Linked DNA regions of Oryctolagus cuniculus. The protein of the gene in region 1 purifies or fractionates together with the protein of each later gene. This does not show direct contact. Links are inferred from orthologs where the notes say so. Each region holds a gene or a part of one and is shown on either strand. Other genes may lie near its edges. The genes, in order: SQSTM1, NIPSNAP1, SESN2, PML, TRIM13, NOD2 and PINK1.

Evidence for each region.
Region 2: the proteins of SQSTM1 (region 1) and NIPSNAP1 purify together in Homo sapiens (affinity purification with mass spectrometry; 4 studies listed by BioGRID and IntAct, with this or other methods). This does not show direct contact. The link is inferred for Oryctolagus cuniculus from reciprocal best matches to the Homo sapiens genes SQSTM1 and NIPSNAP1.
Region 3: the proteins of SQSTM1 (region 1) and SESN2 purify together in Homo sapiens (affinity purification with western blotting; 3 studies listed by BioGRID and IntAct, with this or other methods). This does not show direct contact. The link is inferred for Oryctolagus cuniculus from reciprocal best matches to the Homo sapiens genes SQSTM1 and SESN2.
Region 4: the proteins of SQSTM1 (region 1) and PML purify together in Homo sapiens (affinity purification with western blotting; 3 studies listed by BioGRID and IntAct, with this or other methods). This does not show direct contact. The link is inferred for Oryctolagus cuniculus from reciprocal best matches to the Homo sapiens genes SQSTM1 and PML.
Region 5: the proteins of SQSTM1 (region 1) and TRIM13 purify together in Homo sapiens (affinity purification with western blotting; 3 studies listed by BioGRID). This does not show direct contact. The link is inferred for Oryctolagus cuniculus from reciprocal best matches to the Homo sapiens genes SQSTM1 and TRIM13.
Region 6: the proteins of SQSTM1 (region 1) and NOD2 purify together in Homo sapiens (affinity purification with western blotting; 4 studies listed by BioGRID and IntAct, with this or other methods). This does not show direct contact. The link is inferred for Oryctolagus cuniculus from reciprocal best matches to the Homo sapiens genes SQSTM1 and NOD2.
Region 7: the proteins of SQSTM1 (region 1) and PINK1 purify together in Homo sapiens (affinity purification with mass spectrometry; 3 studies listed by BioGRID and IntAct, with this or other methods). This does not show direct contact. The link is inferred for Oryctolagus cuniculus from reciprocal best matches to the Homo sapiens genes SQSTM1 and PINK1.

The regions. Positions count from the first base shown.
Region 1 is NC_091437.1:67,652,924-67,657,012, reverse strand, and holds the start of SQSTM1 (sequestosome-1), read left to right. Parts: upstream 1-1,254; 5' UTR 1,255-1,615; coding exon 1,616-2,057; intron 2,058-4,089. UniProt on the Homo sapiens protein: Molecular adapter required for selective macroautophagy (aggrephagy) by acting as a bridge between polyubiquitinated proteins and autophagosomes.
Region 2 is NC_091452.1:22,927,368-22,931,023, reverse strand, and holds part of NIPSNAP1 (protein NipSnap homolog 1), read left to right. Parts: intron 1-261; coding exon 262-389; intron 390-521; coding exon 522-567; intron 568-807; coding exon 808-902; intron 903-3,656.
Region 3 is NC_091438.1:143,426,930-143,431,348, forward strand, and holds the start of SESN2 (sestrin-2), read right to left. Parts: upstream 2,844-4,419; 5' UTR 2,712-2,843; coding exon 2,451-2,711; intron 1-2,450. UniProt on the Homo sapiens protein: Functions as an intracellular leucine sensor that negatively regulates the mTORC1 signaling pathway through the GATOR complex. In absence of leucine, binds the GATOR subcomplex GATOR2 and prevents mTORC1 signaling.
Region 4 is NC_091443.1:109,465,534-109,469,189, reverse strand, and holds part of PML (protein PML), read left to right. Parts: intron 1-3,347; coding exon 3,348-3,656.
Region 5 is NC_091440.1:69,269,293-69,273,224, forward strand, and holds TRIM13 (E3 ubiquitin-protein ligase TRIM13), read left to right. Parts: upstream 1-1,516; coding exon 1,517-2,740; 3' UTR 2,741-3,343; downstream 3,344-3,932. UniProt on the Homo sapiens protein: Endoplasmic reticulum (ER) membrane anchored E3 ligase involved in the retrotranslocation and turnover of membrane and secretory proteins from the ER through a set of processes named ER-associated degradation (ERAD).
Region 6 is NC_091449.1:34,272,570-34,276,225, reverse strand, and holds part of NOD2 (nucleotide-binding oligomerization domain-containing protein 2), read right to left. Parts: intron 3,137-3,656; coding exon 3,053-3,136; intron 2,562-3,052; coding exon 2,478-2,561; intron 700-2,477; coding exon 616-699; intron 1-615. UniProt on the Homo sapiens protein: Pattern recognition receptor (PRR) that detects bacterial peptidoglycan fragments and other danger signals and plays an important role in gastrointestinal immunity.
Region 7 is NC_091438.1:150,131,965-150,135,620, forward strand, and holds part of PINK1 (serine/threonine-protein kinase PINK1, mitochondrial), read right to left. Parts: intron 3,037-3,656; coding exon 2,752-3,036; intron 1,999-2,751; coding exon 1,898-1,998; intron 1-1,897. UniProt on the Homo sapiens protein: Serine/threonine-protein kinase which acts as a sensor of mitochondrial damage and protects against mitochondrial dysfunction during cellular stress.

The DNA.
Region 1 (4,089 bases):
TGACCTGAAAGGGGGGGGGTTTGACCCAACAGGGCTGACTCTTAGTCACAGGACCTGCCTGGGAGGTCTGGGGGGGGGGGTGACACACCTCCCTTCCCAGCGCCTTCCCCCAGGCCTTGCAGACAGGTCACTTTGGTCCCAGGAAGCAGAGTTTCTGGATTCCCAGCTGAAAGGTGACTGGTCCCATCCCCTTGGCCGCCCTTGTGGCCAACACTCTTGAGGCCCTACAGGCAGGCACCTGCTGCATTGGCCCCCTGCCCTGACAGGTCTGTTAGGCAGCCTGCATCTGTGAGAGGGAAGAAATGGGAATTTGTGTGGCTGGGTGAGGGAAGAACCACAGAAGCAAGCCTGGGAAGCAGAGCAGTATTTACATCTCAAAAGTCTTAGTTTCAGGTGGGGCCAGTGCTGTGGCGCAGCAGCTGAGCCTTCACCTGCAGCGCCGCATCCCATTTGGGCACCGGTTGTGTCCCGACTGCTCCTCTTCTGATCCAGCTCTCTGCTATGACCTGGGAAAGCAGTGGAGGATGGCCCAAGTCCTTGGGACCCTGCACCCACGTGGGAGACCTGGAAGGAACTCCTGGCTTCGAAGTAGTTCAACTCTGGCTGTTGCAGCCATTTGGGGAGTGAACCAGCAGAGGGAAGACCTCTCTCTTTATCCAAAACTCTGCCTGTAAAATAAATAAACACATTTTTAAAAAAAGAGCCTTGGTCTCCTTCTATAACCTTGTTGAGTGGGTCCCAGCCTTTTCCCAGGGGCAGCTTAGAGAAATCCCTGCCCTGCATTGGGGGGGTGTGTGTGTGTGTGTGTGGCTATTAGGTCCAATAATACTGCTGATGAAGTTCTGGGAGGAATTTCAGGAATTCCACACTCTGGAAGCCCTTCCCCCAGACGTGTCCCAGAAGGGGAGGGGAGGGGAGAGGAGAAAGAGGGCTATACCCGTATCCATAGAAACCCCAGTCTGAAAGCAGGTGGGTTCAGCTCTTGATGGAGATGCCCGCCTACTCTGTCAGGTGCATTCTTTTCATCAGACTTGGCCAGCACGCTTGCTGCTATTCTGTCCCATGGCTGAAGTTCTTGTGCTAAAACAAGGACCCCTGATCAACCATTCCTGGTGATGGTGAGGAAGGGCCTGGGGCGTCAGGCTCAGCCTGCTGGGCTCACAGGGCTGGGGGCGTCCATGTGTCTTTTTGAGCTGCAGTCAGCACTTGGTGACTGACTGCCGTCGCTAGTGGACGAGCCGGCCAGCCGGCCCTGGACAGCTAGGGACGCTCATGCAGGAGGCTGTGGTTGGTGTAGGGCTGCCTTCTGGGGGTCACGCATGGCAGGGCAGCAGGGTACCCTAGCAGCCAGCTGGTTCCGGCTGGTGGTGCCCACTGGGCAGCCTAGATGCCTCCTGGGATAGAGGGCTCTGTGTGTCCTCCTCTGTCCTGTGCTGGGCAACCCCTGCTGATGACCAGGGACCTGCTCTGCTGAGTCACAGCCAGGCCCAAGCCGGAGAGGGGCCTCGGACAGGACCCCAGCCCATTCCTTTCAGGAGGTACAGATGCTGAGGCCTGCTCTGGGGGTCTCCGGTGCCCTGGGGGCAATGAGGGGACAGACTGAGAGCGGTAGACCATGTCAAAGGGCAGCGGGGAGAGGGGCAAGCAGGCACGGGGCCCTGGCAGGGAGACTCGCGAGAGGCGGCCCCGGCGGTGGGGGGCGGCACCCGAAGAGTGCAGGCTCCGCCCCCAGGAGTCCACGTCGGGCGGGGCTTCCGCGTGCCCTACAAAAGCCACGCGCCACTGGCGCCACCGCCGCCGCCTCCTCCGGTGCTCCCTCGGTTGCGCAGCTGCTCGTCGTTCTCCGGCTGCGATGGCGTCGCTCACCGTGAAGGCCTACCTCCTGGGCAAAGAGGAGGCGGCGCGCGAGATCCGCCGCTTTAGCTTCTGCTTCAGCCCGGAGCCGGAGGCCGAGGCCGAAGCAGCGGCCGGCCCCGGGCCCTGCGAGCGGCTGTTGGCCCGGGTGGCCGCTCTGTTCCCGGCGCTGCGGCCCGGCGGCTTCCAGGCGCACTACCGCGGTGAGCGGGCCGGGGGGTGGCCGGGGTCCGGGGCTGCCCTTTCCTAGTCGGTGCCGGCTGCGTCGGAAGGGATGCTGTGCTGGTCGCGCTCTGGGTGAGCGGTGACCTGCGCGTACCCCACTTGCACCTCGGGTGCCAGCCCAGTGACCCAGGCCCTGTCCCTCAGGGGCCGAGGCGATCAGGCCCCGCGGGCTGGGGACTTTGGGTCGTTAGATGCTTCCTGTTCCCCGCCATAATGTTGCAGATCTCGCCAAGGACGCGCCGGGGCGTCCTCTCTGGCCCTGGGCTGAGAAGGTGGTCAGGCGGGCACTCGGGTTACACTGACATCTTGCTGCTGCCGGGGCTGGGCCCGCCGGCGCCAGGTTTGCGTTCAGCGAGCCCTGAAAGTGGGTGGTGGGCGTGGGCGGCTGGGGGACGCAGGGCCCTTGAGCCCGGGGTAGGCCGCAGGTCGCCCAGGGACAAGGCAGTGGGGAGACGGCCGATGTCGAAACGTTCTCCACAAACTCAGAGTGGGGACAAGCCCGGAGCCACCGCTCTTTCTGGCTGCGCTGCTCAGACCGGTAGCTGCTGCTGGGGGTGGGGTCCCGGGACAGCAGTGTGGGAGGGAGGTCCTCGGCCAAGGCCCGCCCCTGGGAGGGAGCAGGGCTGGGACCGCCCTCAGTAGCTTGCCCAGCATTTTTTTTTTTTTTAATTTCCTGGTGACAATTTTATTGAGCTGTAATTCACATACCATAAAATTTACTCATTTAAAGTATATAATTCAAGGGTTTAAAATTTTATTTCATTTTGAAAGGGCAGAGAGACACATACACACACACCCCAACCTACCATCTGCTGGTTCACTCCCCAATGGCTACAGCTGCCAGCCCCAGCCAGGCCAGGAGCCTGAACTCCATCAGTGTCTCCCAGGAGGGTAGCAGCAACCCAGGCACTTGAACCATCCTTTGCTGCCTCCTCCAGTGCACATTAGCAGGAAACGGGATCAGAAGTGGAGTGGCCTGGACTCCAACCAGGCACTTTCATATGGGCTGCCAGTGTTCCGGGCTGCCAGTTAGCCGCTGCAGAAATGCCTGCCCCGATGCAGTGGTCTTTAACACATTCACCAGTTGGAACTTCTGAGCAGACTTGGGGCTGGAGAGCGGGGCCAGGCGCTGGCAGTCAGCATGAGAACCCCTTCCTCTCCACTGGAACCCCATGCCTTTTACCTGTCTCCCTCAGCTCCTGCAACGCTGAGCTGCTTTCTCTCCTGGGCGTCCTCTTCTGGACAGTGGTGGAGAGGGGGTTGTACAGTTTAGCTTTGTGTCTGGCTTCTTTCCTTAGGGAAATGCGTTCAGGTTCATCAGAGGTGTAGGCTGCATCTGTATTCGTTTCTTTTGTGGATATGCCATATCGTGTTTGTGTCATTAGTTGATGGACTTTTGGGTTGTTTCGCAAAAGTGCCACTCTTGCTCTGAGGGTAGATGTTGCCCTCTGGTGCCCAAGTCCAGGCCCCGCCTGCAGCCTGTGCACGGTGCGGTCTGGTCTGGTCTGTGTGGCAATGCTTTAAAATCACGGAAGCCAACATAGAAGGACTCAGCCTTTTTTCTTCGTTGGAGAAAGCAGCAGGCCTCTGGGCTCATCTCCACTTAAACATTGCAGACAGCCCAGAGCCTTTGGCGGGCTGGGCCTCTGAGGGACAGGGCACTGTTATTGTCCGTGTAGTGTACGCGGAAACTTTGCCTTTTAGGTGTGACCGTGGCCCAGGTTCAGGCCCAGGCGGGCACACTTCCTGTCCAGTGAATGGGCAGGCTCCCTTCTTATCCCCGATCTGTCCAGCCCCACCCCTAAAGAAGTGGCCTTGGTGGGCATCAGGCCTAGTGGTTAGTTCACCCATTAAGATACCTGGGGCCCGTGTTGGATCCCAGCTCCCGACTCCAGCTTCCTGCCAGGACAGATGCTGGCAGGGGGTAGGTGAAAGTTCAAGTAATTGGGTCCTCACCTCCTACATGGGAGCCCTGGATTGAGTTCCTGGCTTCTGCCCAGCCCAGTCCCG
Region 2 (3,656 bases), on another chromosome or scaffold:
GCCAGGAGGTGGGAGAGAGGTGGGAGGTGGGGCTGCCTGTCCAGGCCCTGCAGAGATTCAAGATGCAGACTGGGTCCTTTCTACAGAAGAGGCCGAACCTGCCCAGCGGTCTCTGGTGGCGTCTCACACTCGAGCTGCCACGGGATCCTGTGGCCCTGTTCCCAGAAACAGGGGCCGCCAGCCTGGGGCAGCAGGGCATCCAAGCAGAGGGAACTGTGGGGGCTACTCCTGCCCACCCCCCTGAATACGTCTGTCCCACAGTTTCTATTCCAAGGACACTGAAGGCAGCTGGTTCCGCTCCCTCTTTGTTCACAAGGTGGATCCCCGGAAGGACGCCCACTCCACCCTGCTGTCCAAGAAGGAGACCAGCAACCTGTACAAGATCCAGTGTGAGTGACTGCTGAGCTGCCCAGCCCCGTGGGCTCTCTGGGGGCCTTGCCGGGCTGTCCTGGGAGCCCCCTGACTGCCCCGCCTCCACGCACACGCCCTGCTTCACCTTGCACCCTGTGTTCTCCTCGCAGTTCACAACGTGAAGCCTGAGTGTCTGGATGCCTACAACAGCCTGACGTGAGCATCGTCCTCCAGCTGCCCGGGCCAGTGCCTGCCTGGGTGGGGGCCCGCATCCCGGCAGATCTCAGAACTCCCACTGCCCCTTTCGGGAATCTGTAGATTCAGAGCCGGAAGTCCAACCTCTGCCTCTTAGCCATGGGAGGCTGAACCCTGCCCTGGGGGCCTGGGTTGGGACCCTCCTGTGGGGGTTCCTGGAGCTGGTCTGAGCCCTGCCCCTTCTCTGTGCTCCTCCCCCAGGGAAGCTGTGCTGCCCAAGCTGCACCTGGATGAGGACTACCCCTGCTCGCTCGTGGGCAACTGGAACACGTGGTATGGGGAGCAGGACCAGGCAGGTAAGGAGGTGCCCACCTCCCCAGCACCGCTGCCCAGCCAGCGTCTCACACCTGGCTGCCTTCCACTGCCCGCACTGGGTGGGGGGCTTCTTCCCAAATGCACAACTGATCACCCCAGCACCCACCTCAGCTCCCTCGGTCCTCGGCGTGGCCTCCAAGGCTCCAGCCCTTCCTCACTCAGCCAACAGCCTCATGGTGCCACCTCTGCCTTGTGCACTGCTGTCCCTCGTTCCTGTAGCAGGGACCCAGCCTGCATCTTGAATCTTTGCAGGGCCTGGACAGGCAGCCCCGTCTCCCACTCCTCTCCTCATTCAGTCCCCAGTGCACGCCTCAGCCTTCTTGTTCCGAGCTCTTGTTCTCTCACACCTTATTTGGCTCACTGGCTTTTGTTTTGGCGTCAGTGTCACCTCCCCTCACTCCGCACGCCCAGTGCTTGGCCACGCTGCCCCCGATCATTCGCACCTGTAGCTGTCCGTCTCCCTCTCTAGGTGGTGAGTTCTGGGGCTGCAGGGTTGTGTGCACCGCTGAACTCCCAGTGTGCAGCACATGGTTGTGGAATAAACTGGCTCCTTACAGCTTCCAGGAGCACCCCCAGAATGCTCCATCCCACCCCAACATAACCCACCGAAGTTGGCACCCGCCGCTAGGACCCACACGTGAATTGGCCCCTTCATGGGGCCTCGGCCTTGACCTGCACTATCCAGAATGGTAGCGCTAACAACGTGTAGCTGTTTACATTTACACTGGGGGTGGGCATTTGGCCTGGTGGTTACGCTGCCACGTGGGACACCTGCATCCCGTATTGGAGCGCCTGGGTTTGTTTTTGTTTGTTTGTAAAGATAGATTGGTTTATTTGAAAGGGAGAGCCTGGATTGAGAAATACCTTTTTCTCTCTTTGCATCTGTCTGTCTCCCTCTCTCTGTCTCTTTGCCTCTCAAATAAGTAAAAATGGTATAAGAAATTTAATGTTAATTTTTTTTTAGATTTATCTACATATCTGAAAGTCAGAGTTGCAAAGAGAGAGAGAGAGAGAGAGAGAGAGAGATCCTCCATCTGGTTCACTCCCCAGATGGACGCAACAGCCCGGGCTACATGCTGAAACCAAAAGCCAGGTGCTCCATCCCAGTCTCCCACTTCAGCCGCTTCTCCCAGACCATTAGCAGGGAGGAGGATCGGAAGTGGTGCAGCTGTGACGTGAATCAGCGCCCATATGGGATGCTGTTATTGCAGGTGGTGGCCTTATCCACTACACCACAATGCCGGCCCCTAATGTCTTAAAATTAAATAAAATAAAATTTTTATTGAAATTAAATAAAATGGACAATTCAGTTGCTTAGTTACACCAGCCACGTTTCAGGTGCCCCCTGATAGACATGTGGCTCATGGCTGCCATCTCGGATAGTGTCGCTAGTGAATATTTTCATTGTAACGGGAAGCCCTTCTGGGCAGTGCCAGCTTAGCCTGTCTGCATAGCGCAGAGCAATGGTCCTCTAACCCTCCCTTGAATGCTGTCAGCAGTGGAGGGCTCACTTCCTTGTAAGACGGCCCGTCTCACCCTTTGACAGCCCTGATACTTGTGTATCTGTAAGAATCTAGGACTAGGCTGGCGCCGCGGCTCAATAGGCTAATCTTCCGCCTAGCAGTGCCGGCACACCGGGTTCTAGTCCTGGTCGGGGTGCTGGATTCTGTCCTGGTTGCCCCTCTTCCAGGCCAGCTCTCTGCTGTGGCCCGGGAGTGCAGTGGAGGATGGCCCAAGTGCTTGGGCCCTGCACCCCATGGGAGACCAGGAGAAGTACCTGGCTCCTGGCTTCGGATTAGCACAATGTGCCAGCCGCAGCAGCCACTGGGGGGTGAACCAATGGAAAAAGGAAGACCTTTCTCTCTCTCTCTCTCTCTCTCACTGTCCACTCTGCCTGTCAAAAAAAAAAAAAAAAAAAAAAAAAAAAAAAAAAGTCCCGGTCGGAGTGCCGGATTCTGTCCCGGTTGCCCCTCTTCCAGGCCAGCTCTCTGCTGTGGCCCGGGAATGCAGTGGAGGATGGCCCAAGTGCTTGGGCCCTGCACCCCATGGGAGACCAGGAGAAGCACCTGGCTCCTGGCTTCGGATCAGCGCGGTGCGCCAGCCTCAGCAGCCATTGGAGGGTGAACCAGCGGCAAAGGAAGACCTTTCTCTCTGTCTCTCTCTCTCTCTCACTGTCCACTCTGCCTGTTAAAAAAAAAAAAAAAGAATCTAGGACTGAGCTAGGTAGACTGTCGCACATAGGTAGAGCTCCTTCATCACGTACCCTGTTTCAGTAACAGGTGTGGGCACACTGAGTAAAGGGATCAGAGAAAAGCACCTCGCCTTCAGGTTCAGCTCCTGCAGTTTTCCCACGTTAGGCCTGGCTTGATCAACTCCAGGCCCTGAGTGGATTCTCCTTAAGTGTTTGCTAGTTGGGAAATGAACTTCAAGGGGTGGGATCCTGACTTTTTTTTTTTTTTTTTTTAATGTATTTGACAAGTAGAGAGGTAGACAGAGGGAGATCATCCACCTGCTGGTTCACTCCCCAAACACTGAAAACAGCCTTTGCTGGGCCAGGCTGAAGCCAGGAGCCCAAATGTCCTCCACCTGGGACTCCCACATGGGTGGCAAGGTCCCAAATGCTCCCGTTCGGGTGCACATCAGCAGGGAGCTGGGGTCAGAAGCAGAGGAGGGACTCAAATTCAGGCATTCTGTTAAGGGATGTGGGTGTCCCAAGTGAGTGGCATCTTAACCAC
Region 3 (4,419 bases), on another chromosome or scaffold:
CGTCCTGTCTTCCACCCTTCCACAGCTGCCACCCTCCTAAGCGAAACTTAGTAACGAGGTGCTCTGCTGAGTCTATGCTTACCTCATCCTCTGGCCACTCCCCCCTCTCTTCCCACTCCCTAAAACGTGGGTGCTCCCCTAGTTTCTGTTTTCATCCCTCTTCTCTCCAGACACACTCTCCCTGATCTCATCTGATTCCTGGTCTTCAGCTCTCCTCTTGCAAGGAAGTTGCATCTACAGCACCCCAGGGCCCAAAGCCAGGTTCAGCCTCCATTCACTTCCCACAGAGCCTCTTCCTCCATGTTTTTTCTTGACCCATTGGGTTTCAAGTTAAAAAAAAAATATTTATTTGAAAAGCAGTGTGACAGAGAGGAAGAAGGGGGTGGGGGAGGGGTCTTCCATCTGCTGTTGCCAGTGCTGGACCAGGCTGAAGCCAGGAGCCCAGGAGTCTCCCACGTGGATGCAGGGGCCCAAGGACTGGAGTCATCCCCCGCTGCTTTCTCAGGCACATTAGCAGGGAGCAGGACTGGAAGCTGAGTAGCTGGGACTCGAACTAGCACTCCAATATTTGATGCTGGCGGCCTAACCTGCTGCGCCACAGCACAGGCTCCTGTGTTTCAGTTGGAATGTCATTGTTTATTCTGGGCATGGGATCCTGGAGGGGGCAAGGATGGAGGGGATCTTGTCTAATCTGGGTTTAGATTCCAAGGATGAGCCTCTGTCTCGTTCTGCCTCCAGCTTTCTCAGACAAGGAAGCTAATCTAACCTACTGCTGAGCTCCCAAAGCACGTGGGCTGGGGTCTCTGTTTTAACACTTATCACATGTACTTTGTATTACAAATTGTGTTTATAGTGTCTTATCTGCTTATAAGCTTCTTTTATAAAAGATGTATTTATTTATTTATTTATTTGAAAGGCAGAGCTAGAGAGAGAGGGAGGGAGAGAGAAGGAGAGAGAGAGAGGGATCGAGAGATCTTCAATTCGCTGGTTCACTCCCTGAATGGCTGCAAAGGCCAGGACTGAGCCAGACCAAAACCAGGAGCCAGGAGCTTCCTCTGGGTCTCCCACATGCATTCAGGGGCCCAAGACTCAGGCCATCTTCTGCTCCTTTCCCAGGCACATTAGCAGGGAGCTGAATTGGAAGTGGAGCAGCTGGGTGCCCATATGGGACTATGGCTTAACCCTCTGCACTACAATGCTGGCCCAGTTATATGCTTCTTGAGGGCACCTTTGTCTCTTGTCCTATGTCACCTATCACAATGTTCTGCTAATAATATGCCCTAGAATCTTCAATTAAATTCCCCTGTTAGCTACCCTGTCAAATTCATTCTAAAAAGTTTACTCTATAATATCAATGTCCAGACTACAAAGTTCGATGTTCAAAATCTGCCAAGATGTGATTCAATTTATTTTGTCAGTTTCATCATGTGCCACACCCATGTTTCTTGTTTGGCCTTGAAACTTTTTTTTCAGTACTCCTTGTTGTAAATCCCTGACCACTGAAATTGTATCCAGCATTCAATGCCTTCACTGTTTTTTTTTTAATGATTTTTATTATTTGAAAGGGAAAGTGACACAGAGAGAGAGAAAAAAGAGAGAGAGAATTTTCCTGATCACATTACTCATCTCCCACATGGGTGACAGGGGCCCCACTACTTGGGCCATCTTCTGCTACTTTCCCAGGAATGTAAGCAGCGGGATGGGTTGAAAGTGGGGCAGCTGGGACTCTAACTGGCTCTCCGATATGGTATGCTGGCATTGCAAGAAGCAGCATAACCCACTGTGCCACAATGCCAGCCCTGATATTTTTGAATAAATATGTTATTCTCCTCTGCAGAGTAACCTTTTAGAATATTCCAGGACGTGATTAGATCATTCCCAACACTTCATTTACAAAGTGAGTGATTTGTGAGAAGGAAAAGCCAAAGAGGCTGATATACTAAACTGGGCAGTCTTTTGTCATGGAATCTGCAAGGAAGGAAAGACAGGAAGCGGCACAGTCACTACCATTAACTGGGCTACAGCAGGAGTGGCGCAGCTGCTGTCTCATGTAGCTCTCACACAACCCTGTGAAGCAGGTATTAGGGCACCATTTAACAGACAAGAAAACAGGCTTAGGAGGTGTGTTGGCCAAGGCCAGACGGCTTAGCATTCTGAGCCAGGACTCAAACCCAGGCATTTATGAATCCAAAGTAGAAACTCCAGCACACCCAAATGAGAGGACGACGTGAATCTGCAAGGAGCAGGCAGGCACAGGAACTGGTGCTTAGAGCAGGTGTATTAATTGGCAGTGAGGAACATAACTGTCAAGTGGCCTCTAATAGATGGGTCAGCACATCCCTCCTTGTAGGGGAGCATGTGTGAAAAGCCAAGTTATCCCCTGGAAATGGCCACAGCAGCTGGAGTCCTGGCAAAAGGAACCATGAACCAAGATGAATCACTGAACTCACTCGACTCAGAGCAAATCTGCCGGTCAGAGCTCCATTGCTTTCCTTCCTTTCATTCAGTAAATATTTATTGACCGTGGTGTGTGTACCAGACACTGTGCTGGGCTCTGGGAATCCAGCCATGAAGCTGCCAGCCCAGTGGGATGCCGAGAGGGTGGGGTGTGGCCCCAGCCTGGGCACATTCCTCCCCTCCCCCCTGCCTTGTGATTTTTGGTTCAGTGAAGATCTCTTCCTCCTGTTGCCATACTCTCTCGACTCTTGCATCAGCTATGTTGAGGCCACTGATTGGCCAAAGCTATTTTTATTCCTCAATTGCATTCCAGTCCTGAAGATAAGTCTAGATTGGATTTGAAATGTTTTTCAGGTTTCTTCCGGCTTCAGCTTCTCTTTCAGATTATGACTCTCACAGGATTCTCATCTGTTCTGGGTTTATTCTTCCTAAATTCATTTTCTAATCCCAAATTCCGGGGTGCCCTTGCTATGATAACCTTATATCGCCACCATTCCAGAGCTATGATTTATCAGCCCAAATGTCATTTTCTGAGTTCTTATTGTCTTCCTCCCTCAGCTCTCTGAATCTCAGAACACAACCCCTGCCCCAGGAGGTTTTCAAGGAAAGAAATCCCCCTCCCACAGGCTTGATAAAGTCAGAACAGATCCACTCTCCACCGGCCTATTCACACATTCATTCCATTACTCATGAAGCCCGCATGGTGCTCGGTGCTGGGGGAGGCCCTCCCTGCTCCAGCAGACTTGTTCTGAGCCGTCCCGCTACCCAAGCAGAACTGAAATTGTTCCCCCAGAGATGTGTACTGGGGGCAGCCATACACTCTTGGAGTCAGCTATCTATCTCCCAAGACCACATTCCAGGAGTCAGGCAACCGGGGTGCTAGCTTTTAGCTCTGCGATCCCAGCTGATTTTTGTCTCAGCTCTCAGAATCCGTTTCCTCATCCCTAAAACAAAAGAATTGACCTGAGCTGCTCTAACTTCCAGAGCCCCTGTCGAGGGAACTGGTGCTGCGCGGTGCATATGCTTCGCTTTGCTGGGTTGCGTCCAGGACAGAAACCCTCAGGTTTGGAAAAGCTCGCTCCTCTTATTAAAATAGGAAAACTAACCCGCTGGGTGCTTTGGGGCTATTTGCTTAGCGTTCCCGTTGAGTTTCGTCGGCTGCGTGAGCCCTCAGCGCCCCCTGCAGGTCGGGCCCTGCCACGGCTCAGCCAGAACTGGCTGGGGAAAAAGGGTGGCCCCAAGACCGCCCCCCAAACCGTTCCGCGTTTATAGATCTTTGGGTCCCGTGACATCGCCCAAAGGTCTGGCGAAAAGGCCAGGACCGTGTGGTTGCTGAAGACTTTCCTGCTGCCAGCAAGGGCCAGTCTCTCAAAGGGCTTCGCGGCCTGAACGGACATTGTTCCGGCTCTTAGCCTGGGAGCGGGGAGCCTCGGGTCCGGAGAGATTTTGCCCAGAAAGCTGACCACACAGTGGAGGCTAGAAACTTGAGATCGGCGACTGGATTTCACCTTAAGACTGCCTCACGGAGCCCCACTTTCCTGCCCTCCCTTCCCCCACCCCAACTCCTCAGGCTCGCCCTCACCCCTATATAGACCTGCCCTAGAGCAACACCCCTGGCTCTGGCCACCATCCTGTCCCAGCTCTTCCTACTCCCAAAAGACTTCTAAACCCCTCATCAGCAGCAAAGCCTGCAACTGGGATCGAGATCTGGGAGCTGAAGGTTCCAGTTCTACCCCTTTGCAGAGAGGTTTTCCTCCACAGTGCTGTTTGTCAAACCCCTTCGCGAGGCTTGATGGCAATGAAGAAGCTGTACTTCATTGATAACGCTCCTGGCTGTGTGGGTGCTCAAGAAAAGCGGCAAGGAGCGCTCCCTGTGAAAAGCTGGGAGCACGGGGCCCGGCACGTCTGAGGCGCTGAGGAAACGGCGGTTAGCGTTGCTCCTCTGACCTCAGGACGCCCAGC
Region 4 (3,656 bases), on another chromosome or scaffold:
TTCTGGAATGTTCTGGGGTCTTCATGCAGGGACGAGCCTGGCCCATGGTCACAACTCCAAGTCACAGCTGCGGCCGTCTCTCCCTCTTTCTCCCGTGGACTCAGGGTCCATCCTCGTGTCCACCCTCACAGGGGACAGGGTGCCCATCATGGGGGAGATGGATTCAGGGAGGAGACCCCTCCCCAGCCCACCCTACCCTGGGCAGAGCCAGCTCAGGCACCTCTCCAGGCCTCCACCCAGCACCAGGCGTCTGCAGGGTGCACTCCTCCTGTGCGTGCCCCACCCCCTCCCCACTGGGGCTGTGGGTGCTGCAGGACCTCTGCTGCTCGCTGCCCTGGGCTCCCCGGGGTCCCCCTGCCTGCTTGGCCGTGTGCCTCCTACAGAGACCCCAGCCGTCCTGGCTTCAGGCTGAGTCTCTCTCTCTCTCCATGTCTCTCTCCCTCTCTCTCTCCATCTCTCTCCATCTCTCCCCCTCCCTCTTCCTCTCTCTCCCTCCCTCTGCCTCTCCCTGTCCCTCTCTATCTCTCTTCCTTTCTCCCCTTTTCCATCTCTGTCTCTCTGTATCTGTCTTTCTCTCTCTCCATCTCTCTCTCTCTCTCTCTCTCTCTCTCTCTCTCTCTCTCTCTCTCCCCTCTCACTCTCAGCACTTGGGGTCTGGGATGAGGCAGGATCTGTGGGGTCTGTGTGGGGATTTTCCACCCAAGTGCTGTGAGGACCCAGAGCTGAGTGACAGTGACAGTGACCGTCACCCGGGACCCTGCCCCTGCAGTCCTGGAGGCGCCTGCGTGGTCTGCACCGCCCACCCTTCCCCACTCCTGCAGCAGCTGGGGGCGCTGGACACATGGGGGGCAGTGTGTCCATGCCCCGGGCTCCCCGGAGACACTCAGGGCAGGGGGGTGCTGTATCCCCAACCCACAGGCAGGATTTCTCCTGAGAGAAGCAGAGGTGGCCCTGAGCCGCCTGAGAAGGGACAGGGAATGGGGATGGGGTGAGCGCTGTGTCCCAGCCCCCAGGGAGCTCCTGGGGACCTCCTGCTGCTTCCCCCTGGCTCCCAGCCCCGCAGGCCGAGAGCCCCCAGGAGAGGAGGGAGGAGGGCTCCAGGCCAGATGCCCCCTCCCTCTGGGGCGTGCAGCAAGGAGGGCGGGGCCCCGGCTCTGCTGAGGGGGGAGCAGGCTGTTCTGGTGGATGATGGACGTCAGTCAGGGAGGGTCTGGCTGCCCCGGGGTCCCTGCACCTCACCAGTGGGGGACGGGGGGCATTAGGCTGCCCCCAGGGTCCCTGCATCTCACCATCGGGGGGCGGGGGGCGTCAGGCTACCCCTGGGGTCCCTGCATCTCACCATCGGGCGGCAGGGGGCGGCAGGCTGCCCCTGGGGTCCCTGTACCTCACCAGCGGGGGGCAGGGGGCGTCAGGCTGCCCCTGGGGTCCCTGTACCTCACCAGTGGGGGGCAGGGGGCGTCAGGCTGCCCCTGGGTCCCTGCACCTCACCAGCGGGGGCAGGGGGTGTCAGGCTGCCCCTGGAGTCCCTGTACCTCACCAGTGGAGGGCAGGGGTCGTCAGGCTGCCCCTGGGGTCCCTGCACCTCACCAGTGGGGGGCAGGGGGCGTCAGGCTGCCCCTGGGGTCCCTGTACCTCACCATTGGGGGGCAGGGGTCGTCAGGCTGCCCCGGGGTCCCTGCACCTCACCAGCGGGGGGCAGGGGGCGTCAGGCTGCCCCTGGGATCCCTGCACCTCACCAGAGAGGGGCTGGGGGACGTCAGGCTGCCCCTGGGGTCCCTGTACCTCACCATTGGGGGGCAGGGGGCGTCAGGCTGCCCCGGGGTCCCTGCACCTCACCAGCGGGGGGCAGGGGGCGTCAGGCTGCCCCTGGGGTCCCTGTACCTCACCATCGGGGGGTGGGGGGCGGGGGGCGTCAGGCTGCCCCTGGGGTCCCTGCACCTCAACAGCGGGGGGTGGGGGGCGGGGGGCGTCAGGCTGCCCCTGGGGTCCCTGCACCTCACCAGCAGGGGGCAGGGGGCGTCAGGCTGCCCCGGGGTCCCTGTACCTCACCATCGGGGGGTGGGGGGCGGGGGGCGTCAGGCTGCCCCTGGGGTCCCTGTACCTCACCAGTGGGGGGCAGGGGTCGTCAGGCTGCCCCTGGGGTCCCTGTACCTCACCATCGGGGGGTGGGGGGCGTCAGGCTGCCCTGGGGTCCCTGTACCTCACCAGTGGGGGGCAGGGGTCGTCAGGCTGCCCCTGGGGTCCCTGTACCTCACCAGTGGGGGGCAGGGGGCATCAGGCTGCCCCGGGGTCCCTGCACCTCACCATCGGGGGGTGGGGGGCGTCAGGCTGCCCTGGGGTCCCTGCACCTCACCGGGGGGCAGGGGGCATCAGGCTGCCCAGGGGTCCCTGCACCTCACTGGGGGGCAGGGGGCGTCAGGCTGCCCCTGGGGTCCCTGCACCTCACCAGCGGGGGGCAGGGGGCGTCAGGCTGCCCCGGGTCCCTGCACCTCACCAGGGGGCGGGGTTGGCGTGTTGGTTCACGTGGAGACTCCCCGCCTATTGAGACGTCAGTGACCCTGGTAGTTTGAAAACACTTTGTTCTTGAGAACAAATGATTTTTGGAGGTTTTTCAGCGGGGAGTGGGGGTAGGGGGAGAGTGAAGATGGGGGAGGGGCCCTGGGGGGCTGGGAAGCACAGGGGAAGCTCCTGGCTCCCGGCTTCGGCCTGCCCAGCCCTGGGCATTGCGGCCATCTGGGAAGTGAACCAGCAGATGGAAGACCTCTCTCTCTCCCTCTACTGCTCTGCCTTTCAGATAAATAAACCCTTAAAAATAAGTTTATTTTATAAAGGAAACATCAATTCCGCGAATTCCTTTTGTACGCATTCTCCGCGTCCTGCAGCTGGAGGCACAGGCCGCCGCAGCTTTACTCTCGTGTGCTGCTCTGGGCCCTGGCACCAGCGCCATGAACGCTGCGTCGGGAAAGCGTGAACCTGCACACCTACTATGACTCAAACTCTGGCACTTTTATCTAGGGGATTTTTTTTTTCATCTGAATGGCAGAGAGACAGGCAGACGGGGGGAGGATCTTCCGTCTGCTTCCAAAAGCCCTTAAACAGCCAGGGCTGCAAACTGCCCGGATACCCCCGTGGGGGGCAGGGACCCGATGACCTGAGCCTGCCCCTGCGACCTCCAAGGGTGCGCCTCAGCAGGAAGCTGGATGGGAGCGGAGTTGGGACTGGGACTCGGGCACTCGGATATGGGATGTAGGGGGTGAGGTGGGTCCCAACAGGTGCGCCAAACGCCAGTGGGGTCTGGCAGTTTGGGAAGAAGCCGGCGAGCCCTAACCCAGACGGTTCTCCCGCAGCATCTACTGCCGGGGCTGCCACAAGCCCCTGTGCTGCTCGTGTGCGCTCCTGGACAGCGGCCACAGCGACCTCAAGTGCGACCTGAGCGCCGAGGTGCTGCAGCGCCAGGACGAGCTGGACGCCACGGCGCGCGCGCTGCGGGAGCGCGGCGGCGCCTTCGGGGCTGCGCTCGCGCAGGTGCGCGCGGCCATCGGGCAGCTGGGCCGCGCGCGCGCCGACGCCGAGGACCTGATCCGCGAGCGCGTGCGCCAGGTGGTGGCACACGTGCAGGCGCAGGAGCGCGAGCTGCTGCAGCAGGTGCACGCGTG
Region 5 (3,932 bases), on another chromosome or scaffold:
AAAAAAAAAAAAAAAAAAAAAAAAAAAAAAAAAAGAACTTATTGGACTGTCTGCTACTTTAAATGGATCTTTTATCTGTGCACAACATTACGCATGCAGACTTGAGAAAATAGCTCAGTGTCATTTAAATCTTCAAATACTGACGTTTAAGAAAACAATACTCCACCCCACCTCCAGACATGAAGTAATATAACCATTGATTTCATCAGAAAAGTCTTTAATTAATGGGAAGCTGTGAAGCTCAGAAGTGGCAAGTATGTTTTCCAAAAGTCTAATTTTCACATAAAAACCTTTTCACTGGTAAGAAATACTGTTACTTGCTTTCCTTGAAGTAACAAGCTCATTTTGTTCATTTTCAAGAAAATGCCTATCCTATATCTAAATCTGAACAGCCATGGTTGGCTATGCAAAAAGCAGTAGGTTCAGCCTGCAACTCAGATATATAAGTGGTTTTCCTCACATAACAACTCTGGTATGCAGAAGCGCTGTATATGTACCGCTCATTTTGTCAAATATTAAAAAAAGACATGCATACAAGGATTGAGGTATAATAAAATTAATACTTTTCCTGTTCATCAGGAACATTCGTAAATGAATCTGGCTCCCAACCCTACCAGGAATTGATGGTGATAAATACGACTGGTGGCACAACCCTACCAGGAATCGATGGTGATAAATACAATGACTGGTGGCACAATTTGTTGTTGCTTATTGCCTTGCTTTCTTGTGAAAGCTCCATCCTGCCATTGCTTTTGCTGTCAGTGCAAATGTTAACAGGGGTTCAGAAAGCAAATGTCACCTTTACTATCAGGAAAATAAGCTCACAGATGCCCTAAAAGAGGGACACCCACGTTTCTGCCCACACTTTGATAATTGATGGTGTAAATAAGATGGCTTTGATTACTGGCTTTGTAGTTTAAAAATGACAAAAACTGAATTCCCTAGGGAAGAGTGAATCACAACTATCTTGTGCTTTTACCTGTAATTTAGTGATTGTAATCTTGGCTTGGAAATAGAAAAATATACCAACTTCTAATATAAGTCTGCAGGAGGGTACATGCTTAGATTTATAGTATTTCTGTGCTTCTTTCTTTTAAATAGCATACCATTTTATGTTTGTGGGCCCAGGGTAAAGAACTCATTCTATTATAGACACTGAGTGGCTTTGTTTCTGACAGCTAGTAGTCCGCTCTGTTTTCAAACAATCAGTTGGGTCCTACTGGCTCAACTTGCAGTTGTCCTGGTCCTAACCCTGTCTCAGCCAAAGACTGTTGTTGGAAAGTCCACACAAAGGCCTTGTGTACAGGGTGCCCCACTAATGAGGAGCGTGTTCTAGTCCCGGCAGATTAAATCTGCTTTGGTGTGCATTCCCTTCCCAGATTTCTCACTTATTTTTGTTTGGCTGGTTATTTCAGTGAAGGGTCATTTTAATGTGAAGATAGCTTTTTCTAATAAAAGTCATAGTAAAGGAGATTACTGGGGTAAAATGTTATGTCTTTTTCTGTGCTAGGATGTGATGGAGCTGCTTGAAGAAGATCTGACGTGCCCAATCTGTTGCAGTCTGTTTGATGATCCACGAGTGTTGCCTTGCTCACACAACTTCTGCAAAAAATGCTTGGAAGGTCTCTTAGAGGGGAATGTGCGGAATTCGTTGTGGAGACCATCGCCATTCAAGTGCCCCACCTGCCGTAAGGAAACATCAGCTACTGGAGTTAACAGCCTGCAGGTTAATTATTCCCTGAAGGGTATTGTGGAAAAGTATAACAAGATCAAGATTTCTCCCAAGATGCCAGTGTGCAAAGGACACTTGGGGCAGCCTCTAAACATTTTCTGCCTGACTGATATGCAGCTGATTTGTGGGATCTGTGCTACCCGTGGTGACCACACCAAGCATGTCTTCTGTTCTATTGAAGATGCCTATGCTCAGGAAAGGAATGCTTTTGAATCCCTCTTCCAGAGCTTTGAGACATGGCGTCGGGGAGATGCTCTTTCTCGCTTGGATACCTTGGAAACTAGCAAGAGGAAATCCCTACAGTTACTGACTAAAGATTCAGATAAAGTGAAGGAGTTTTTTGAGAAATTACAACATACACTGGATCAAAAGAAGAATGAAATCCTATCTGACTTTGAGACCATGAAACTTGCAGTGATGCAAGCCTATGACCCAGAGATCAACAAACTCAACACCATCTTGCAGGAACAACGAATGGCCTTTAACATTGCTGAGGCATTCAAAGACGTGTCAGAGCCCATCATATTTCTGCAACAGATGCAGGAGTTCAGGGAGAAAATCAAAGTAATCAAGGAAACTCCTTTACCTCCCTCTAATTTGCCCACAAGCCCTTTAATGAAGAACTTTGATACCAGTCAGTGGGAGGACATCAAATTAGTAGACGTGGATAAACTTTCTTTGCCTCAAGACACTAGCACATTCATTAGCAAGATTCCCTGGCGCTTTTATCAGCTACTTGTGGTGGTCCTTCTGCTTGGCCTCCTTGTTTTCTTCAGTCCTACTGTATTCCTAGAATGGTCTTTATTTGATGAATTGGCAGCATGGAAAGACCACCTTTCAAACTTTAGTTCTTATCTGACTGAGAAAGCTGATTTTGTAGAACAATCCATTTTTTACTGGGAACAGGTGACAGATGGGTTTCTCATTTTCAGTGAAAAATTCAGGAATTTTAGTTTGGTGGTGCTGAACAATGTGGCAGATTTTGTGTGCAAATATAAACTATTATAAAATATGTTTCATGTATGCAGTTCTTTTATTAGAATTTGTTAGAATAGTAATTCAACTTTGGTCAAGATTCCAGTCAGATGTTTTCCTCGAAAAAAATTTCCTTCAAAAACAATGTCCTGTGGTGGCATCTGGCATGTTGTCCTACATTGGAGTGTCTGGGTTTGATACTTGGCTCCAGATTCCTGCTAATGTGAACTCAGGAAGGCAGTGGCTCAAGTGGTTGGGTTCCTGCCACCTACACTGGCAGATGTGGATTGAGTTTGCTGCTCTTAACTTCTGCCTTGGCCCTGGCCCAGCCCCAGTTGTCTCAGATAGGAGCATGTGCTTTCTCTGTATCCTCAAATAAAAACTGAAACAAAAAAATCATATGTTCAAACTAGATAGCATAAGGATAAAAGGGAAACTTGCTAATACAGCCCTGGACCATCCTTCCTTTATAAAGAGTGACTTTGAAATGAGTTTTCTGCCCACAGTATTGATTGTGCTTATGCTGGGATTAAAAATGGGAAGTGAGAGCATATGGTTATCTATTGTATTGACAAGGTAGGTAGTATAACAGTGATTGTCCATCAAGCATGAAATAAAGACTACTCTTGTAAAGCACTTTTTGCATAGTGAACATTCTTTAAGGAAACATGATGTGGATGGAATGGATTTCCCCACTTTTCTAGAGGGCTGATTCATTTCTAATCAAAATATAAATCTTTTGTAAACAGAAACTGGCACTTTCCTGTGATGAATTTACATTTTTCAAGAAGGTGAAGGTTTTAGCTTACCTTTTTGTTTTTTTAAGATTTTCATGAAATATGATTAACTGCAGAAGTGTTAGGGGGCTGTACATAGGCAGATTTAAAGAGATCCAGTGCATGGCAAAAGCAAGAAATGGGAAAGCCATCTTTCTACTGATAGCTCAGTACTTTGTTGTTCCAAAGTACCAGGGCTACTGTACAACCAAACCAATCCACTTGCAGAATTTTTAGACTAATAATAGGTGAAATAATCTGTTGGTTGTTATAAAGTACAAAGTAAACAGTTGAACACTAAGGCTGCCCTCTATCTGCTCACATGAGAAAAATGCACTATCACAGAATAAAATTACTTAATATTTTCACCTTACCTTCATATGAAAACAAAAAAGTTACCTAAGCTAAGAACTGCTCTCTAGTTCCCCTTCTTTTTTGTCAAGGAACAA
Region 6 (3,656 bases), on another chromosome or scaffold:
ATGCTGCACAACACAAGAGAAACCACCGGCGATGGCCATCCCACCTAAGAGGGAGACAGCCTTGGAGTAGGGAGAGACATTTCTATCAGCAACCGGCCCATCCATATTCACTTGGCTTTGACCTCCAACTCTGAGGGCCACTGGCTGGCAGGACCTGCCTCTCTCTGCCTGAGGCTTTGCTCCTGACCCCAAAGCTGCATGTGCTGGAGAATTCATACCCTCCCCCACTCCCCGCCCCGAAGCATATGAGGCAGCAGCACATGGTGGATAAGTGCCCTTGTCTGGTTAGGTAACCAGCCATGTTCTGCATTCCTGTAGAGCCCCATCAGGACTGAGCTCCAATTTCTCAGTGATCACTGGCTCAAGAACCAGCCCCTATCGGTTACCTTCCCTCCCCCACCTCACTTCACTACTTTCCCACCAGTGTTTGCTGGACCACCTCCCAGGTAACCACGTTGGCACTGGAATCCTTGTCGACCCAGACTAACACAAGCTGCTGCTGTCCACCTAGGGTGAGTTACTCTGGCTGCACAGCTGCCCCAGGCTCTACTTCACAAACACCCCTTCCCCAAGGCCGGCCATCACTGCCCCAGCTACCACTGGTGAGGTCCTTACTTCAAGACTTTCAAACTTGAATTCCTCTTTAGTCCTTCTGCGAGAGAACACACGCCTGCATCCTGGAGATGGTTCTCTTCCAGGCTGGCAAGAACAAGAGAGAAAACCTCACTGATGAGATCACATTCATGATGTGCATAGAGATTAATCTGCATACCTCCTCCCATTTAGAAAATCCAACTTCTGAACACCCAAGTTCATGGATGAAGTTAGGGCAGGCAGATTCTCAATTCCAGGACAATTTTGCAAGGGAATTTGCCCCAGGGCTCTCCTAGATAATGAGTTCCTCCCATACCCCAGCAACCATATTCCCTTTCTTTAATGGAAGCTTCATTTCATTTGGGGCAGTCACATACTCAGTGAAAAAAAAAAATAATTTCCCAACATCCACTGCAGCCAGAGCTGGGCAAGAGACATACACAGGGCTTTGATACACAAGGGGAAGTTGACAGGAGGGGTTTCTGGGAAAGAGACCTGGCCAGCCTGTGGCTTTCCTCCTTCCAGGTTTGTATCCATTCTGAATCCTGGAATACAGAAGTAATATCGCAGGTAGGGGCAGCTACCTTGTGATTAGGGGGCAACAACTGTAAGGATGAAGTCATAGGCTAAGGACGATGGACCAGAAAGACACAGAAACTAGGCCTTTTGTAGCTACGACACCAGCCCTATGTCACCTACCTTCAGATTGCCTGTCCACGAAAACATAAACCTTTTATTGGCTTAAGCTTCTGTAGATGAAGGTTTCCTATCACTTGCAGCTTCATATAGTGTTAAACTAACCTAAATTTGGCCTGAAGCCACCTCCATACTTTGAGTTCCTATGCAGTGACCTGCAACCTAAGTTAGCACATAAATAAATTGCAATCTAAGAGTATATTCGTATAACAAACAGCCAAGTCTCAGCCAATCATAGCAGCTGAACGTCAGCCAATCACAGGCTGTCAGCTCATCTCAAATGCTGAGCTGTAACCCATCAAGCTCTCTCTGTGTGTCACCTCCCTTTACCCTCTGCAAATACTATTTGGCCACATTGCTGGGTGGAGCTCTCTGGGTCTTTCTTCTTGATCCATGAGCATTCTTTGCTCAAGTAAACACTGCCAAATTTAGTTTGTCTAAAGTTTTTAAGAGCAGTGGTAAGTGGTGCACTCACAATGAGGTGCTCCTCTACTTAGACATCCAAGTGACAGAATCCAATCAGTATATAGTCAGCGGCAAATTGGCAGAGCTAGCAAGCCCTGCCAACGACCAAGGCTGTTGTAGCACAAGTTTGCCTCCCTTCACTGTGCTCAGAGACAGGTTTTTCACCAAGTGAAGGTCTGTGGCATCTTTGCTGCTAAGCAGGTCTGCCAGCACCAGTTTTCTAATCATTAGCCCTTTTTAGCAATAAAGGATATTTTAATTAAGGTATACACTATTTTTTATGATATAAAGCAATTGCACACTTGGAAGACGAGCGGTAACAGAACTCTCCTGCACGGGGAAACCAACAAAGTATGTGATTTGCTTTACTGCACTGGGATGCAACAGGACCCATAGTACTTCCGAGGTATGCCTACATCCGATTTCTAGCAACGCCTCTAAGGTTTCAGGGCCTTTCTCCTTCCTCAAGAAACCACACTCAGCCTTTTTCCTCCCTGCTAGGACCTGGAACTGCCCAGAGCGCATCAGGAGACCCTACAGTGGCATCTAAAGGATGGAGAACTTGGAGTCCCTGCAGGTCAGCACTGTGTGCACAGTCCACGCTCCTCCTTCAACTTCCCCGAACTCCACTCCGCCTTCCAAGGTGGCCCCATGGATGCGGCCAGGGAACCAACGAAAGCTGTTCACTGCCTCTCATGAGCAGGGAACCCCCCCAAACTCACCAGAGTTCTTCTAGTGCCACGTTCTTCTCCAGCATCGATGCTAAGGCCTGGGCACCCACACTGCCAATGTTGTTCCCCACCAGGCTGGATGTAAACATGGAGCAAAAACGTCAGAGCACAGAGGGACCTCAGAGATTAGCTGATGTACAAAGAGCAAAACAGCACACACAGCCTCACTCTCCAGTCTGCTCCATATCAGACATCACTAACTGGCTACAGGACTGTTTTACACTTAAGACATCACTAATCGATTATAGTGTCTTTAAGGCCAGGAGCAGCCTTAGAGGCCTCCCCAACATGGTACACTGGGCAGCCACTATCAATGCACTGGACGTGCTTCTTGAGACAAACGCTCCTGATCCTACCCTGCATCTCCCATTCATGGGGAGTGAATGAAGACCTTGAGAGGGCAAAGGCTATCTCCAAAGTCACCCAGAGAGACTCAGTGTCCTGACTGCCTCACGTGGCGATGGGGCGGGGGATGGGAGTGCAGAACTGAAGTTCAAAGAGTTTCAAAGGCAGCTCAAGCTCCTCCTGGCTCTCACATGACCGCCGTAGGGCAGAGGAAGTCTTACCTGAGCCATTTCAAGCTTTGATGGTCACTCAAGGCTTCTGCCAGGGCCTGGGCCCCCTTGTCACCCACTTTGTTGCCCCAGAACCTGGGAAGAACAGCACAGTGAACCGTCAGTGTCAGTGCATGTTGGCTACATGTTCCACACACCCTCCAGTGCACTCCTGCTCTCTGCAGGCCCAGCCGACTCCAGCCAGGTCTCCCAGCAACGTGAACCTGCCCCCTTCTTCCTGGTGGGGTACAGAGGCCCACCCACCCCATACCCTCAGGGATGGGAGACTCACTCCCAATAGTAATACACCAAGTTGTGACATTTTTCCTTTTTCCTGACTTTATTTTTTTTTTTAATTTATTTATTTGAAACTCAGAGCTACAGAGAGAGTGGGAGAGAAAGAGAGAGAATTTTCTATCTGCCAGTTCACTCCCCAAATGACCACATGACCACAATGGCTGAGACTGGACCAGGCTTAAGCCAGGAGCTTTTTCTGGGTCTCCCACATAAGTGGCAGGGGCCCAGACACTTGGGCCATCTTCTGTTGCTTTCCCAAGAGCATTAGCGGGAAGCTAGATTGGAAGTGGGGCAGCCAGGACTTGAACTGACACCCACA
Region 7 (3,656 bases), on another chromosome or scaffold:
TGCCTGCCACTCCTGCTCCAGGAAGCCCAGCTGACATCCTGGCCGAGACCCAGGGGCTGCCTGCCGGGCACCAGCCCCCAGGACGGGTGCCTGCTCCAAGGGCAATGGGTCTACAGTAACATGGGAGTCGGTGGGGGGTGCGGCCACGCACGTGCTAAGCTGCTGCGTCAGGAGCCGTCCGTCCTGGGGCAGCTTGGCGGAGTGGAGGGGTAAGTGCAGACGGATGACGGAGAAGCAGGAGGTGCACCTCGCGGGGGGCTCCTAGGAGGTGCAGGCAGGGGACACTCCCGGGGGCTTGTGGGGCAGAGCTGCTCCCGCCACAGCCGTCCTGCACTCCATGGATATGCGCCTATGGCACAGCCGGACGGCAGCGAATCTACAAAGACGTCTGATTTATGACTAAATGGTGGGGGGCTGGCTGTGGCGTAGCAGATAAAGCTGCAGCCTGCTGGCGTCCATATGGGCGCCAGTTCGAGACCCAGCTGCTCCACTTCTGATCTAACTCTCTGCTATGGCTCCTGGCTTCAGACTGGCGCAGCTCTGGCTGTTGTAGCCATCTGGGGAGTGAACAATCGGACAGAAGATCTCTCTCTCTCTCTCTGCCTTTCTGTAACTCTGCCTTTCAAATAAATAAATAAATATTAAAAAAAAGACTACATGGTGGGTTGGCATTGTAGCACAGTGGGCAAAGCCACCACCTGTGACGCTGGCATCCCATGTGGGTGCCAGTTCAAGTCCTGGCTGCTCCATTTCCGATCCAGCTCTCTGCTAATGTGCCAGGGAAAGTAGTGGAAGATGGCCCAAGTGCTTGGGTCCCTACTCTTGTGGGAGACCCAGAGGGGGCTCCTGGCTTCGCTCCGGCCCAGTGCTGGCCATGGCAGCCGTCTGGGGAATGAACCAGCAGATGGAAGACTCTCTGACTCCCCCCTTCTCTGCAACTCTGTGAAAATCAATCTGGGGGGGGGGCTGGATGACGATTCATGCTGTGAAATGACAGAGGGGCGTCAGGCAGGTGACATCACAGCAGTGAGGATTCACGTCCGCCCTGGGCAGCTGTTTCCTGCACAGAGGGCTGGGGAGGGGAGGGCGGCAGCACCACGCTCCTGGGGCCCAGCAGGGACTCAGCCACCCGGGACTCTTCCAGGCCACAGGGCTTCTCCATGCCTATCCCCACACGTCGCTGTCTTCCTGCGCCTGACGGGACTGAGATGGGAAAGCCAACCCTCCACTCTGTCACCAGCACCGCAGCTGTCCCGCGGCTCCCTGGGGGGCGCCGCTGACCCAGCCGGCATTTGCAGAGCCGGCCTGGCCTGCAGGCTGCCGTGCACCGTCCAATCAGCTCTTCCCTCAGCTGAGAACACCCTCCACAGGGAGCACGCGCTCCCTCCGCGTGGCCTGGCCCTGCAGGGAGCGTACGGCCTACCGGGCACCTGGGCAGACGCTGCCCTGGCACTGCCAACACTGGCTCTGCTCTGCGCTGCGCTGGCCGGGCTCTGCCCACACGCAGGACTCTGGCACGACACAGCACTCTGGTGCCGGCAGCGCAGGGAGCTGCTGGTGCAACGGGCCCCGAGCGGGCGTAGCCACTAGGTGGCGCTGCACACCGCTTAGGAGGAGTCTGGGGCCTCGTCCACTTCCCCCGCGTTTGGAACTGGGCATTTGCGAGTGGCCTTTCTCCCCTGCTCTGATGTGAATTCGCCATCTGCATCAGCTGGGGCCACGTGATCTGAAATCTTTGCCAAGCTAAATTCTCCCCCGACTGAAAACCCGCCTGATCAAATGATTCGGGAAACATTTGTTGCTGTGTCACATCTGGCATCGCGCTGAGTGCGGGGACCCAGGCGATGACTTGGCTCTCAAAGAACTCAGCTGGCCAGGTGGGGGGGGGGGCGCTCACCTGTGCGTGACCGCTCCGTACTCCCCGGCCAGGGCCACTCGGCTGGCTGGGACGAGCTCCTGGCTCATGGTCCTGAAGATGGCCTCGCTGGAGGAGCCGGCCTGCAGCGGCAGCAGGAAAGACCAGGGTTACACAGACGCGGCCGCGTGCCTGGGGCCAGCTCTGACCTTCAGGCGGAGGAGGCAACGCTGTGAGGTGGGAAGCCAAGCCTCCACACTCCCGGTCCCAAGGCCCGCATCCCAGCCAGAAACTGCACGCGCCGGTATGGAGCGCGGGGGGCCGGGCCGCTCTCTGCCTCCGCCGTGGGTGCGTGTTCTGAGCAGGGGCGTGCCAGGGGTGGATTAATTCTCTAAACCCAACCTCGACGGGTGGGGAAAGATTCCTCTAACAGACAGACCCACGCTCATGTCGGGGAAAGTATTCTACTTGCCAGGGCCTTCCGAGAGCTGAGAGCGGGGCTGACAGGCGAGGCCTCCAGCTGGGGGTGGGGGTGGGGCGGGGGGGCCGGCTCCTCGCCAGCATGGTGGTGGTTCCAAGCAACGGCCGGCCAGACGTGAGCCCACCGATGGGTCTGGAAGCCACTGGTGCGGGCACTCGCTCCTGCGTGGCCCACAGACCCACTGCACTGGCACCCCCCAGGAGCTGGCTCCAGAGGCAGGACCCGAGGCCCCCCCCTGAGCTGCTCAGTCCCAGGTGGCTGCGGACAGGTTACAGGGAGCTCTGGACCCCGGGAGAGATGGCGAGGGGGCGGGGCCACACGTTCCCTAGCTCCCGCCCGGAGGACCCTCCCCAGGGCCCACCAAGACCCCGCGCTGTGGGCGACGCCGACTCAGCAGAGGAAGGGCCGCCCTTACCGAGATGTTCCACATCATCTTGATGGCCAAGGGAAAGGCAGGGGTGGCGGGAGCGTGCGCCTCCTGGGCTCCTGCTGCCGCGGGATCCGGGCCGCTCCCCGGGCGCCGGGCACCCTGTGCCACCTCCAGGCGCACAGGCAAGGCGGGCATGGCGGCTTCGTAGACGGCGGCGCTGCAGCCCTTGCCGATGGGCTGCCCGATCAGGTACTCCTCCAGCTGGAAGCCCTGCCGGCGCCTGGCGGCCAGCGGGTCGGCCTCCAGCCTGCTTCTCTGGGTGAAGATGGCCTGCGAGGGAGAGAGCGCTCCGTGAGCCAGGGAGCCGGGAAGGGAAGGAAGAGAGCCGGCGGGGAGAGGTGTTCCGAGGCAGGGGCCTCACACCCACAGTCCCAGAGTCCATAAAAACCCAACCGCACCGGGCCTGACTGCTCCCCGGGGCTCGGGCCACTCTGCCTGAGCACATTTTCACGTCCTTTCCCTGCACCGCGATGACAGGCACAGCCCAGTGTGGCGGGGGCGAGGTCAGGACGTCTGAGTCCCGGGGACACATGGTCCTCTGCTGCCCCCACCCCGGCAGTCCTGCAGCCGCCTGACTGTGCAGCCGGCTCCCCACAGGGCCCTGGCCCTGGCCCCGCGGCAGGCAAGCAGATGAGACCAGGCGCGCCCCGGAGCAGTCACTCAGCCCTGCCTGGCTGTTGCTGCCTCTCGGGCCTCTGGTGGGTCACCCGGTTCAGTACAGGTTCTGCCAGGGGCAGGTGGCTGCTGGGCCCTGCGTGGTGCTAAGGAAACAGCCTATCCCCGAAACGCTGGGCTCGCCTCCGCGTCAGACTCAGGGCCGTCACCTCACCCGCCCAGGCGCTGCTTCCTCTCGGAGAGTCTCATATGCCGATCCCTCCCGACTCTCATCA